Linked DNA regions of Neurospora crassa OR74A. The protein of the gene in region 2 purifies or fractionates together with the protein of the main gene of each other region. This does not show direct contact. Links are inferred from orthologs where the notes say so. Each region holds a gene or a part of one and is shown on either strand. Other genes may lie near its edges.

Region 1 (3,451 bases), about 760 kb from region 2:
ACGGCGTGTATGGCATGGAGGGGAGACGGCGATCGATAACTGTACTTGTAGCAACGGGGAACGGTCAAATTGTTGCAGTAGAAATCCTGAATATAGTCCGATATTTGTCAAGAATGACCAAAAAGGGACCTTGGCGTCAACAGGAGTCAGACGGACGAGCGAGCCTCACAAGTTTGATCAAGATGGTGTTTGGATGGGAAAAGGCAGCGAGGCAAGATCAGACGCAGGCGAGAATCTAGGTAGCTAGCAGGTCCCGTCGTGGTTGAGAACCTCAACGGCCACACACACCCAGCCCAGACAATATAAGACACAGGACAATCAATTGGAGCCCGCTCTTGGGCGGCGGGTTTGGGGCCTGGGGTTAGATTGTTGATCCGGACCGGCGCTTGGAGATCGAAAACTTCGCTAGTGCAGTGTGCGCTAGTTTTGAGGACCTTGCTGGCACACGGTAGCCGGCCCTGAATGGGCTGTTGGCGTCGTGAAGGTAAGCAGGTGATCAGATTGGATGGAAGAATGGAAGTCAATGGGTCAGATAAGTATTGTTTCGGTCGGTAGGTACAATGGAGTGCAGGTGCCTGGGGCGTCGAGTGCGGAGAACGAAGACAATGCAAGATGCAGGGCGGATGTGGAGGGAACTTGCAGCCTTGGATGCCTGGGTGTCGACTGCAGTGCCGCAAGTTGATAGGGACTGCCGGTTTTGACGTCGAAGAAGTCGATTGATTTTGGACCGAGATATCCAGGCTGAGGTTGGGAAGGCGAACAATTGCAGCTCACGCAGGCTTTTTAACAAGGACCGTCCGTTCGTGATAAGAAGCAGCGAAAGCAACAAGGATCTTTATCATCGATGCCATCATAGGTCTCCTTCTTGGCCTTGTACCTACCATATGTAGACCACAGATCCCCGATTTGGACTCGGCCCACTTTGTTTCTCTTTTTTGTTTGGTAGCTGTCATGAGCAATTGTCCATCATGAGTCTCAACAATTCAGCTTTCTGATGGATATCTATAGATGCTGTTTGGTCTAGCATATTTCTCAGGTCTCATATGGGCTAGTCAGGGTTGCTCAGTCAAAGAGACCCTGAGTTTCCGAGATCGAAAAAGAGCACTGAAATACCTATACTGCATACCTCTACCAACCTGTCAATGCGTTGGAACAGTTGGCAAAATGCTCCATATCAGTTGCAACGAAGGGACTGGACAGCATTCTATCTCGAAGTCTCTGCCCACCAGCTGAATCAGATGAAGTGCATGTGTTTGTGATGTGGTACCGTCCAGTTGCCCGGTGGGGACCTCCCCACTCCGTCGCCGTGTCACCAACCGTTCGGGGGAGCCGGGGTCACTGGGTCCTCGGGTGTCCCTTGGAGATGCCGCGGGGGCGCGAGTCGCAAGTCGCGGGTCGCGGATCGTGGGAAATTTTATTAAGTTGAGCTTTGGAACTTTTCCACCATTGCAATTTCCCTTGTCCGAATCTCCTCAGCACCTCGCTCGCCTCAAAGCCGCGGAGAGTACCCCTTGCGCGCACCCCGACAGGAAGCAGGCCCATCCAGTCTATCCAGCAGGGCAACCCCACGACAGCTAGTCACCATGTCGAAAGCTACCATCGCCGTCATTGCCGCCGTGAGCGCCGCCGGTGGTGCCGCGGCCACCGCCGCTATGCTCTCCCTCAAGAGCGACAAGAAGGTCGACACCACCTCGCTGAACGCTCCCGTTCCCGCTGCCCCTTCCAAGCCTGGTCCGGTTCCCGCCAGCCAGGTCTTCAGCGCGCCCGCTCTCGCCGGCGGTTATAAACCTGTCGACCCCTCGGCCTTCTTCGAGTACGGCTTCCCGGGCCCCGTCGCTGATCTCGCGACCCGCCAAGGCTTTGTGTCCTCGTACGACCGCCGCACCAAGAACCCGCACTGGACGGTGGAGCACATCACGCCCGAGTCCCTGTCCATGTCCGAAGGCGACCGCAAGAAGTCTACTTTCGTCGAAGACGAGGCGATCCCCGAAAAGTTCCGCGGCAAGCTCAAGGACTACTTCCGCTCCGGCTTCGATCGCGGGCACCAGGTTCCCGCGGCCGACTGCAAGTGGTCGCAAGCCGCCATGGACGACACCTTTTACCTGTCCAACATGTGCCCGCAGGTGGGCGAGGGTTTCAACCGCGACTACTGGGCGCACTTTGAGGATTTCTGCCGTCGCCTGACGAAGCAGTACCCTTCCGTCCGCATCGTCACCGGACCTCTGTACCTGCCCAAGCGCGACCCCAGCGACAACAAGTGGTACGTCAAGTACGAGATGATCGGGCAGCCCCCTAACGTGGCGGTGCCGACGCACTTTTACAAGGTCATCTTTGCCGAGGACGGCAAGAAGGGAGGAAACGTTGCGCTAGGAGCTTTCGTGTTGCCCAACGCCAAGATCCCCAACGATAAGCCGCTGCAGGACTTTGAGGTGCCCCTGGAGGCGGTCGAGAGGGCGAGCGGTCTCGAGTTTGCGAGCAAGCTGCCGGTACAGAGGAGGAAGAGGTTGTGTGCGGAGGCGAACTGCTCCCTTATTGTCAAGGACTATGCCGAGAGGCAGAAGTCGTTTGGTAAGAAGCAGTAGGGGGATGACAAAGGTATTGTGGGGAGGGGGGGAGAATAGAGAGAGAAAGAGAGAGAGAGAAAAATGATGGTTGTATCGAGGACGGTATCACCCAAGATGACCTCTTGTGTACACCTCGATTTCTTGCCGTGACGAAGGTTGGGGATAAGGTCGATAAATGGGAGTCTAGCGGGGAAGGCCGCTGTGAGGCTTGTACTTGCATACAGGCGGGTTGTGCATAGCATCATACATGAGCATAGTTTAGCGTTTTATGATTATACCCCCATTGGAAAGGGAACACTGTCCGAAGTCGAACTTGACAGGGTTCAGTTAAAGGTGTTGGTCGGTCAACTGCATATGGACATCAGGCATACGTGCGCTTCTACTCCTTTAGCCCTGCGGTGTGCCTTCCAAATCAGAGCTCATTTTCGCGAGCTGATATATGACGGCAAGCCCATTCGCCAGGCAAGCACTTATCGACACCAAGGCATCCTTGATCACAGCCCGTACAGTGAACCAAGCATGATATCAGTGCATAACGTAGGGAAGAGGTTTAAAGCTCCACAGCCAACCTTAGTAGCAGATTAGGGGGTAGCAACCATGGTGATATATTCAATGCCCACCAGGCAACTCAAAGTCGTCTGTCTATCTGATCAAGGTTCCTCACTCAAGCACCGGCGAGGTACCTATCTTTCCCGACAACATCAAGCTAGCCAAACAGGAAGTTCGAAGTTAAACCCACACACAGTCGCGAAACGATCGTAATCCCTTTCTCTCTTTCTCTCTTTCCTTTGTTCATCGTTCCCGCCTTCCAAATGTTGTTCATCTGATCTTGTCTCGGTTGGGTATACGTTCACACCGCTCTGATCAACGAATCCATCCATTCCCAA
Region 2 (4,097 bases):
CATCCCTCCTGATCTCACACACAACCCTATGCCACTCCTTCTCACTCCCGTTCGGGCCATAAACCACATCCCGAGCCATGACCTGACTACTAGTATTGAACGTGTTAAAGCTAATCTTGCCGCTCCCCTTCCACTCCGCCATATCAATCTCGGGCGGCCACCCATTGACGGCCGTCAACCAAAACGCAGGCCAGGTCCCCTTCGCAACGGGGGCGCGGAACTCGGCTGAGAAATCGTAGCCTGACACTGCACCAGCACCAGAAGAAGAAGAAGTAATGGTGAAGTGCTGCTTGGCGTGGATGGCGCCGGATAGGTACTTGATGGGGATCTGTTTGCCGCCGTGGGTAGCGGGTTTTTGGCCGGTGACGCGGTGGGCGGTTAGAGTGAGGGTGCTTGAGGTGCCGTCAGCAGAGGGGGCTATGGAGACTTGGGAAGGGGACATGCGCGCGGCGCCATTGTGGTCGGTGCCCCAGGGGTAATTGAAGGACCAGTAGGTGTTGAAGGTGGTGGTGGAGTTGAAGGATGTGGAAGGGATTAGGAGGGTCTTGGATGAGGCGAGGGTAGATGGGAAGAGGCAGAGGATGGTGATGGTTTGGAGGAGAAGGGGAAGGGGTTGTTGGAAGGACCTCCTCATGTTGGCGGGTTCCTTGATGAAAGTTGGTGTTTCTGGAGGGTTGATCGAGTTGGTAAGGACTGATTCAGTTCGGCTGAATTCTGTTGCCATTACTCCTTCTTTTAACTTGACAACCAGGACTTCCTTCGACACTCACAATACTGTTGAGGGTGGTACTATATAAACGGATCCATTATAGGATGGAACATAACACGGATGATTTATACCTATATTCCACCATTCATATATATTACCGTGATCAGCGTTGCAGCTATCTCGGCCTCAGACTAAACTCACAACCATGCGAGGGTATGCGTCGGATACATATGATCAGCGTTGCAGCTATCTCGGCCTCAGACTAAACTCACAACCATGCGAGGGTATGCGTCGGATACATACAAGTAAATGGGGAATATTTGGGAGAAAGCGTACTATACAGGTGATAGTTAATGAACTGTGTATACCTTCTCGTCACATGTATTCAACCCCCTTTCTTGCTTTGACAGCGAACCCTAACCCTGCCGATTGAAGCCGCTCACCTACCTACCCTGAACTTCCACCCCTCCCGCTCGAGCCCTGACGTACTGGACCACTCCCCTGTAAACTCCCCGCGGTGGCGCTGAACTATAAGCAGTGCAGTGGCTCCATCGGGCAGGCAGAAAAAGTTGCCCCGATTCGCGACGTCAACTTTCACTCTTGAAAACCAAAAAAAGTTCCCGCGACGCCGATTGACTCCTCCACGCGCCGGGTGACACAACTCTTTTTTCTACATTTCCCACTCGACGAGACCCTCTCGACATGCCCAGGTCAGAGGAAATGACTGCATAAAAAAAACACTTATTCGTCCATGCATTACAAGAAGCTAGCAGTCGCTGCCGCATCAAAGAGGATAAGAACCGTGCTGCCGACTCGAATCTCTACCACCACATCCTCGTTCCTATCGCTTAGACGTTGTCTTTCCACAAGAGATTTTACACGATCTCCAGAATCGTCGGTAGATCCCTCGGTGTTCACTAGCTCAAGAATACGTCGGGTGCCAGACTCTGTCTCGAAACCTAGAACCACTCCGTTCCGGAATCTTCGCCCAGCGAAGCCCACTCCTCGCCTCGCCGTCAAGCCTCCGAGCAAAGATCGGCCTCCCAAGTCCAAGATCCCAGACTCGGTCTCGAAGACAGTCGCTAGAGAACTCCTTCGCAACAGATACCTCTTCGCCGAATACAGTCTCTTCTCGCCGCAACGGGCCTTTCAAAAGTGGAAGAATCACGGCCTTCTGAAGCACACCAAGATCCCCGAGGACTTCTTTAGCGGCCGCATCCCTATCAAGCTCTACCCTTATCAGGTTGACGGACCTCGTTTTATCCTTGCTTCTCCTGCTCCAGAACAGAAGGAAGCTCCTCCACTACCTGCAAAACCCGAGTTCGGCGCCATGCGCAGCCACGTCCAGATCGTCGCCGCCCCGACGGCCGACACCCCAGGCGCATGCCTCCTCGTCCACTATGACAACCGCCGTTACCTTTTCGGCCACCTCTCCGAAGGCACGCAGCGCCTCTTCACCGAAAACAAAATTCCCGCCGCAAAGCTGTCGCACATCTTCCTCTCTGGCAAGACGGACTGGGCAACGACAGGCGGCCTACTGGGCATGATTTTGACCGTTGCCGATGTCATCATAAGCGCAAAGACTGCAGTTGAGGAAGAGAACAAGCTGCGTCGTCAGAAGAACAAGCCAGAAATTACCCATGGCGGTCCTCAGCGTATCGAGATTCACGGCTCCAAGAACCTTGAGCACATGCTGGCTGCTGCCAGACGATTCGTGTTCCGCAAGGGCTTCCCACTCGATGCCCATGAGCTCCGCGCCGATCCCAGGGCCGCAAACCCCGAGAACAGCAAGCCTGACTACGAGGATGAAAACCTCAAGGTCTGGAAGATCCCTCTTGTTGCCACAGGCATGGAGAGCCGGTCGCGTAGCAGCAGTACCGGCTCGCAGAACCCGCGGAAGCGGAAACTGAACTCTTCGGAGGAGCCCGAGGTCATGGACACTCTGGTAGAGGGAGAGGACGGAGAGGTTGTGGAAGATGTGCCGGCGGGAGTGGAGGATGACGAGAAGACCCACCTTCTCATGCAGACGGTTATTAAGCACATGTTCGACTCAGACTGGAAGGCCGACACTCTTGTAGAACAGCCTCTACACAAGGTCAAGCTGCCGGCCAAGATCTTTGTCCGCGACGATGAAGGCAAGATCACAGTGTACAAGGGCCCATTGCCGGGGAGGGACGCGAACGTTCCTGATATCAGGGTGCTTGTGAGGGAGCCTTGGCCTGGTGCGCTTGTCCACCGGTTGCCACCCACGGACCCTTGCTTCGATTCCACATGCTACATCGTTAAGAATCATGCTCGTCGAGGCAAGTTCCAGCCTGCGAACGCTCTCAAATACGGGCTACCCAAGTGGACATTCAGCAAGCTGGCAAAGGGCGAGAGCGTGACGGCAGAGGATGGAACTGTTGTTACCCCCGATATGGTTTTGGACCCTCCTATTCCCGGCCACGGTTTTGCTCTAGTTGATGTCCGCTACGAGTATCTCCTCGATAGCCTCCTCAAGAGGCCCGAGTGGGAGAACAAGGAGATCATGGAGCATATCGATGCCTTCTACTGGATCCTTAGCCCAGAGGTCAAGGATGATTCCCGCCTGAAGGATTTCATGGCGAAGCACAGCTCCTTCAAACACGTTGTTCTCGGTGAGGGAATGAACCCCAACACCATCTCATTCGGGGGCGCGTCTGGGAAGGCTATCATGATGCATCGGATGGATCCCGACCGCTTCTCCATTCCCAACCACAACAACCAGGAAGAAGCCTTACCAGCGGGCTTGGCATCTGTTGCTCAGCTAGGCAAGCCCGGCGAAAGACTACTCCTCTCTCCTTCGGTCGAATTTCAGCGCCAGTTCGCCAACGCTGTCATGGACACCATCAAGCCGATCAAGGAGCTCACTTCCACCCACGCCAAAGCCTTCAACCTGGCGCTCGAAGCGCAAACGAAGGTATCCGACCCTGCTTTCGCCGCCCGCGTCGCCGAGTCCGAGCAAGACATTCCCAACCGGGACGCCGAAATCGTCACTCTCGGCACCGGGTCCGCCCTTCCCTCCAAGTACCGCAACGTCTCAGCCACGCTCATCCGCGTCCCCGGCTACGGCAGCTATCTGTTCGACTGCGGCGAGAACACCCTCGGCCAGCTCCGGCGCGTGTACGGCTACGCCGAAACCGACGCCATCCTCCGCGATCTGCGCGCCATCTACATCTCTCACTTGCACGCCGACCACCACCTCGGTGTTCCCTCCGTTCTCGCCCGCCGCGCCGCCGCCAACGCCGCTCTCCCCGCCGACGAGGCCCCCAAACCGCTCACTATCATCTCCACAACAAAGTACATCGGCTTCCTGCACGAGTACAAAGACGTCGAGCCTCTCGACTGGGCCAACATCAAATTCCTCACC
Region 3 (3,936 bases), on a different chromosome or scaffold from region 2:
CCAAAACGAGAAGCTGTCGACTGTCGAGCTCTTCACCTCGCACGAGGGTCTCCTTCTCGAGTACGAGGAACCGCTCACCCGCCTGCTCAACCACCCTTCGGTCCGCTCCTACCCTCCCGACTCTACCACGCCCCCCAAGAAAGAATACTACAACACGTCGGCTCACTTCTTGTGGATCGGCGACCGCACGCGCCAAATCGACCACGCGCACGTCGAATACTTCCGCGGCATCGCCAACCCCATTGGTGTCAAGATTGGTCCCTCGACACCTACTTCGGACTTGCTGCCTATGCTGCGCACTCTAAACCCCAACCGCGAACCCGGCAAGGTTACGCTCATTACGCGCTACGGCGCCGACAAGGTGGCCTCTCTCCTGCCTGCGCACATCCGCACCGTCGAAAGCTCGGAGTACGCCCGCACCGTGGTCTGGCAGTGCGATCCCATGCACGGCAACACACAATCGGTTAGCGGCGGCATCAAGACGCGCAAGTTCAGCGACATCTTCTCGGAGCTTCAGCAGACACTACGCATCCACAAGGAAGAGAAGTCGTACCTGGGCGGCATGCATCTGGAATTGACGGGTGACGCGGTGACGGAGTGCTTGGGAGGCGGTGCAGGACTGGATGAGGATGACTTGAGTACTAACTATACGAGCTTCTGCGATCCGCGGTTGAACGAGAAGCAGGCGCTGGAGTTGGCCTTCTTGGTGGCGGATCATTATAGGCAGGAGAGGAAGGAGAAGGAGGCTGAAAGGAGAAAGTCCTCGGTGGTTTAGAGGGCTGCTTGCTTGAGGATGTGGAGGAGCTGGCAGATGAAGAAACTAGGTACTGAGGCTACTAGTGGAGGAAGTGCTACAACTATTGGGGCTGCTACAGCGAATGGGGCAGCAAATACAAAATAGGATGCGAATACCAATGAGGCTGCTACTACACCTAGTGCAGGTGGTGGTACTGGATGTGGCGGGACTGCTGCTTCGGAAACTCTTTTTTCATGACAGGCCAAGGTTGGAAGCGGCTGGCATGCCACGACGGGAGATGGCCCGTGGTCGCGATATAGATATTGTGTAGTAAAAGGGTGTATAGTTTTGTGGTGAAAATAGGGTTTCTCAAAATTCAAAAGTGCTATAGCGTCTTATTCATCTTCAAATTCATCTTCAAAAGTGTGGTGGTTTGTGAACGCAGCGTGTTTTGGAAACTCGAAGCCCAGGTAAAGTACAGGGTAGTCAAGGAGACGTATCGTGAGCACAGTGACGTACCTACAGTACACCGTCCGTCGTCGGGCTCCAGCAGCTTTGGTCGGTTGGTCACTGCACAGGGCATGTTTCAGGTCATGCAACAAGCTACTTACTGGCGAGAGAAGGGGGATGGATCATTTACCCCGCTGTCTTGTATCATTGGCTTCTTCATCCCAACCACCAACGAACTTGTCGACCATTTCTTCAATCTTACACTAGCACTCTGTCATTGGGCTGTATTGTATCCCGCGTCTCAGGTAGAGTGAGTAGTACTTAGGTGGTTTGCCCCTCTTCTGTGTACATACCAGAAGGGTTCCCCTCTTTTTGATCTTCCGTCCGATCAACTTGAAACATCCGACTCGAACTGACCAAGCTTTCCACTTTGCTTAGAGCCGGCTTCCAGCAGACTTATAGCTTATCTATCTTTACTTGCGTAGCGAGTTGGTCATTCTCGTTTTGTTTGGCCGACCTCGTTACCCCTCTTCCACTTCCGGTTCCAACTCTATTCCAATACCCTTCGACGTCCATCGCAAACCCCAACAACTCTCCCCGACCAACAACCCAAACAACCCATACCAACCGCAACGATGGTCGACCGTGGCCGTAAGCCCTCCGCCCTGGCCTCCACCCCCGGCCTCCCCCCGCAACCCCAAGTCGCCTTCTCGTCGGACAACTCTCGTGTGACCGCCACTCTTCCGACCGGCGAGAGCGTCTCGGTCCTGCTTTACGGCGCCACCGTCGTCAGCTGGAAGGACAAGAACGGCCATGAGAAGCTGTGGTTGAGCGAGGCGGCCAAGTTGGATGGAAGTAAGCCTGTGAGGGGCGGTATTCCCTTGGTTTTCCCGGTATGTTGTCCGCCGCCCTTGGTCATTTATTTCAAAGGAGGGAAGGAAGGAAGGAAAAAGGAAAGAGGACATTATGCTGACGAGAAACGGAAATAACAGGTCTTCGGAACAGCCCCCGACCATGCTCAGACCAAGGATCTCCCCCAGCACGGCTTCGCCCGCTCGTCGCGGTGGGAGTTCCTGGGCAAGTCCACTTCGGAATCGACGCCCACTCCCACCACCCCGGCCTTTGCTGCGACGGCCACCAGCGCTGCCGGAGCGGTGGCGGCTGCGGCGGCGGATTTATCTGTCAAGTTGGACTTTGGACTGAGCTCTTCGGGCTTGAGCGAGGACGCCAGGGCAAAGTGGCCGTATGCGTTCAATGCGATTTACAGCGTGACGCTGAACACGGATAGCCTGACGACCAACTTGGTCATTACCAATGACGATGAGAGGAGTTGGGAGTGTCAGATGTTGATGCATACCTATCTCAGAGTTAACGTATGTCCCCCTTTCTCTCCCCTCCTTCCTTCCTTCCTCCAACTAACGGACAAAAAAAAACAGGACATCACCTCCGTCTCCATCCACGGCCTCGAAAACGCCTCCTACGTCGACAAGACCACCTCCCCCATTTCCACCAGCACGCAAACCACCTCGGCGCTAACCATCTCCTCCGAGACCGACCGCGTCTACACCCCCGCCGGCGACGACCCCGCGTCCATCCCCATCACCGTTTTCGAAGGTGACCAACCCAAGTACACTGTTCTGCGGGACAACCTCGCCAACGTGGTGGTTTGGAACCCCTGGATTGAAAAGGCGCAAGGTATGGCGGACTTTGAGCCCAAGGACGGGTACAAGAACATGTTGTGCGTGGAACCGGGGGCGGTGGCTACGTGGCAGGTGTTGGAGCCGGGCGATGCGTTTGAGGGGGCGCAGACGATTGTTTTGGGTGGGAAGACACAGAATTGAACCCAGGATGCGTGGGTGCGGGTGCGGAGGGCAAAGTGGGTTAGAGAAGGGATGAAGGGGAGGTTATGACATCAAGGCAAGGGGATGGAAGTGGTAATTGGATTAAGGGAGGAAACGGAGGATGTACATGAATGATGATAAGTGATGACAGTGGATATGTGGCAGAAGGTGAGATAGTATTGTAGCTGTGGGGGCGGCCAGTTTTGCTGGATAGATAGACAGACAGACAGACGGCAATGACTATAGTAGCTGGACAAGAGCTCATGTATAGGAAGTGAAGGACGTGAAGAGTGATGGCAATGACTGAGAGAGGCTTACATCAATATAGCCACCATTTTCACTACACTGGCTTAACCTGCTCTTTATGTTCCTAATCAGTTATATAAAGAAATGCAGCGCTGACATGAACCTAAAAACTTCCGCTATGCTATGCTATGCTATGCTATGCTATGCTATGCTATGCTATAACCCAATATCCCAGACGCCCGGAACATCCCAATTCCTACAAATGCCACATGCCACGATGATCCTGTCTGTCTATTTGCTTATACAATATGACTGACTATCTTACAACTTTCCCTTCATCTTGCTCGCCCTTCTCAAATCGCCAAGCTGTCAAGCGTCCTTGTTCCGGGCTATGGTACTGGCTACCCAGCGAGGCAGTTACAACGTCCCTTCTCCCTCCCCCCTTTGCCTTGCTTAGTTTCCATCCATTACCCATAACCCCTCACCACCCCCCCCGTATCCATCCATCCATCCATCTTCTTCTTCTTCTTCTGTCTGCATTTAGGGATTTGCTTCTTTTCTTTTTTTTTTTTTTTTTTTTTTTTTTTTTTTTTCTCTCTTCATTTTGTTCCCCTGAATATGGCCGCCGCTCGGCAGTAGCTCAGCTACCCCTCGAACCTGAAC

The links. The genes of interacting proteins can lie anywhere in the genome.
Region 1: the proteins of NCU00232 (region 2) and NCU00030 purify together in Saccharomyces cerevisiae (affinity purification with mass spectrometry; 6 studies listed by BioGRID, with this or other methods). This does not show direct contact. The link is inferred for Neurospora crassa OR74A from reciprocal best matches to the Saccharomyces cerevisiae genes TRZ1 and NUC1.
Region 3: the proteins of NCU00232 (region 2) and NCU02786 purify together in Saccharomyces cerevisiae (affinity purification with mass spectrometry; 3 studies listed by BioGRID, with this or other methods). This does not show direct contact. The link is inferred for Neurospora crassa OR74A from reciprocal best matches to the Saccharomyces cerevisiae genes TRZ1 and YMR099C.

Annotation. Positions count from the first base shown.
Region 1 is NC_026503.1:2,346,232-2,349,682, forward strand, and holds NCU00030 (mitochondrial nuclease), read left to right. Parts: upstream 1-1,228; 5' UTR 1,229-1,583; coding exon 1,584-2,582; 3' UTR 2,583-2,951; downstream 2,952-3,451. UniProt on the Saccharomyces cerevisiae protein: This enzyme has both RNase and DNase activity.
Region 2 is NC_026503.1:3,102,041-3,106,137, reverse strand, and holds the start of NCU00232 (hypothetical protein), read left to right. Parts: upstream 1-1,297; 5' UTR 1,298-1,460; coding exon 1,461-4,097. Other genes in the region: NCU00233 (glycoside hydrolase), read right to left, coding at 1-724. UniProt on the Saccharomyces cerevisiae protein: Zinc phosphodiesterase, which displays some tRNA 3'-processing endonuclease activity. Probably involved in tRNA maturation, by removing a 3'-trailer from precursor tRNA.
Region 3 is NC_026501.1:9,199,311-9,203,246, reverse strand, and holds NCU02786 (hypothetical protein), read left to right. Parts: upstream 1-1,348; 5' UTR 1,349-1,821; coding exon 1,822-2,079; intron 2,080-2,178; coding exon 2,179-2,559; intron 2,560-2,622; coding exon 2,623-3,027; 3' UTR 3,028-3,436; downstream 3,437-3,936. Other genes in the region: aro-8 (phospho-2-dehydro-3-deoxyheptonate aldolase), read left to right, coding at 1-775; NCU02787 (hypothetical protein), read right to left, coding at 3,914-3,936. UniProt on the Saccharomyces cerevisiae protein: Catalyzes the interconversion between the alpha and beta anomers from at least three hexose 6-phosphate sugars (Glc6P, Gal6P, and Man6P).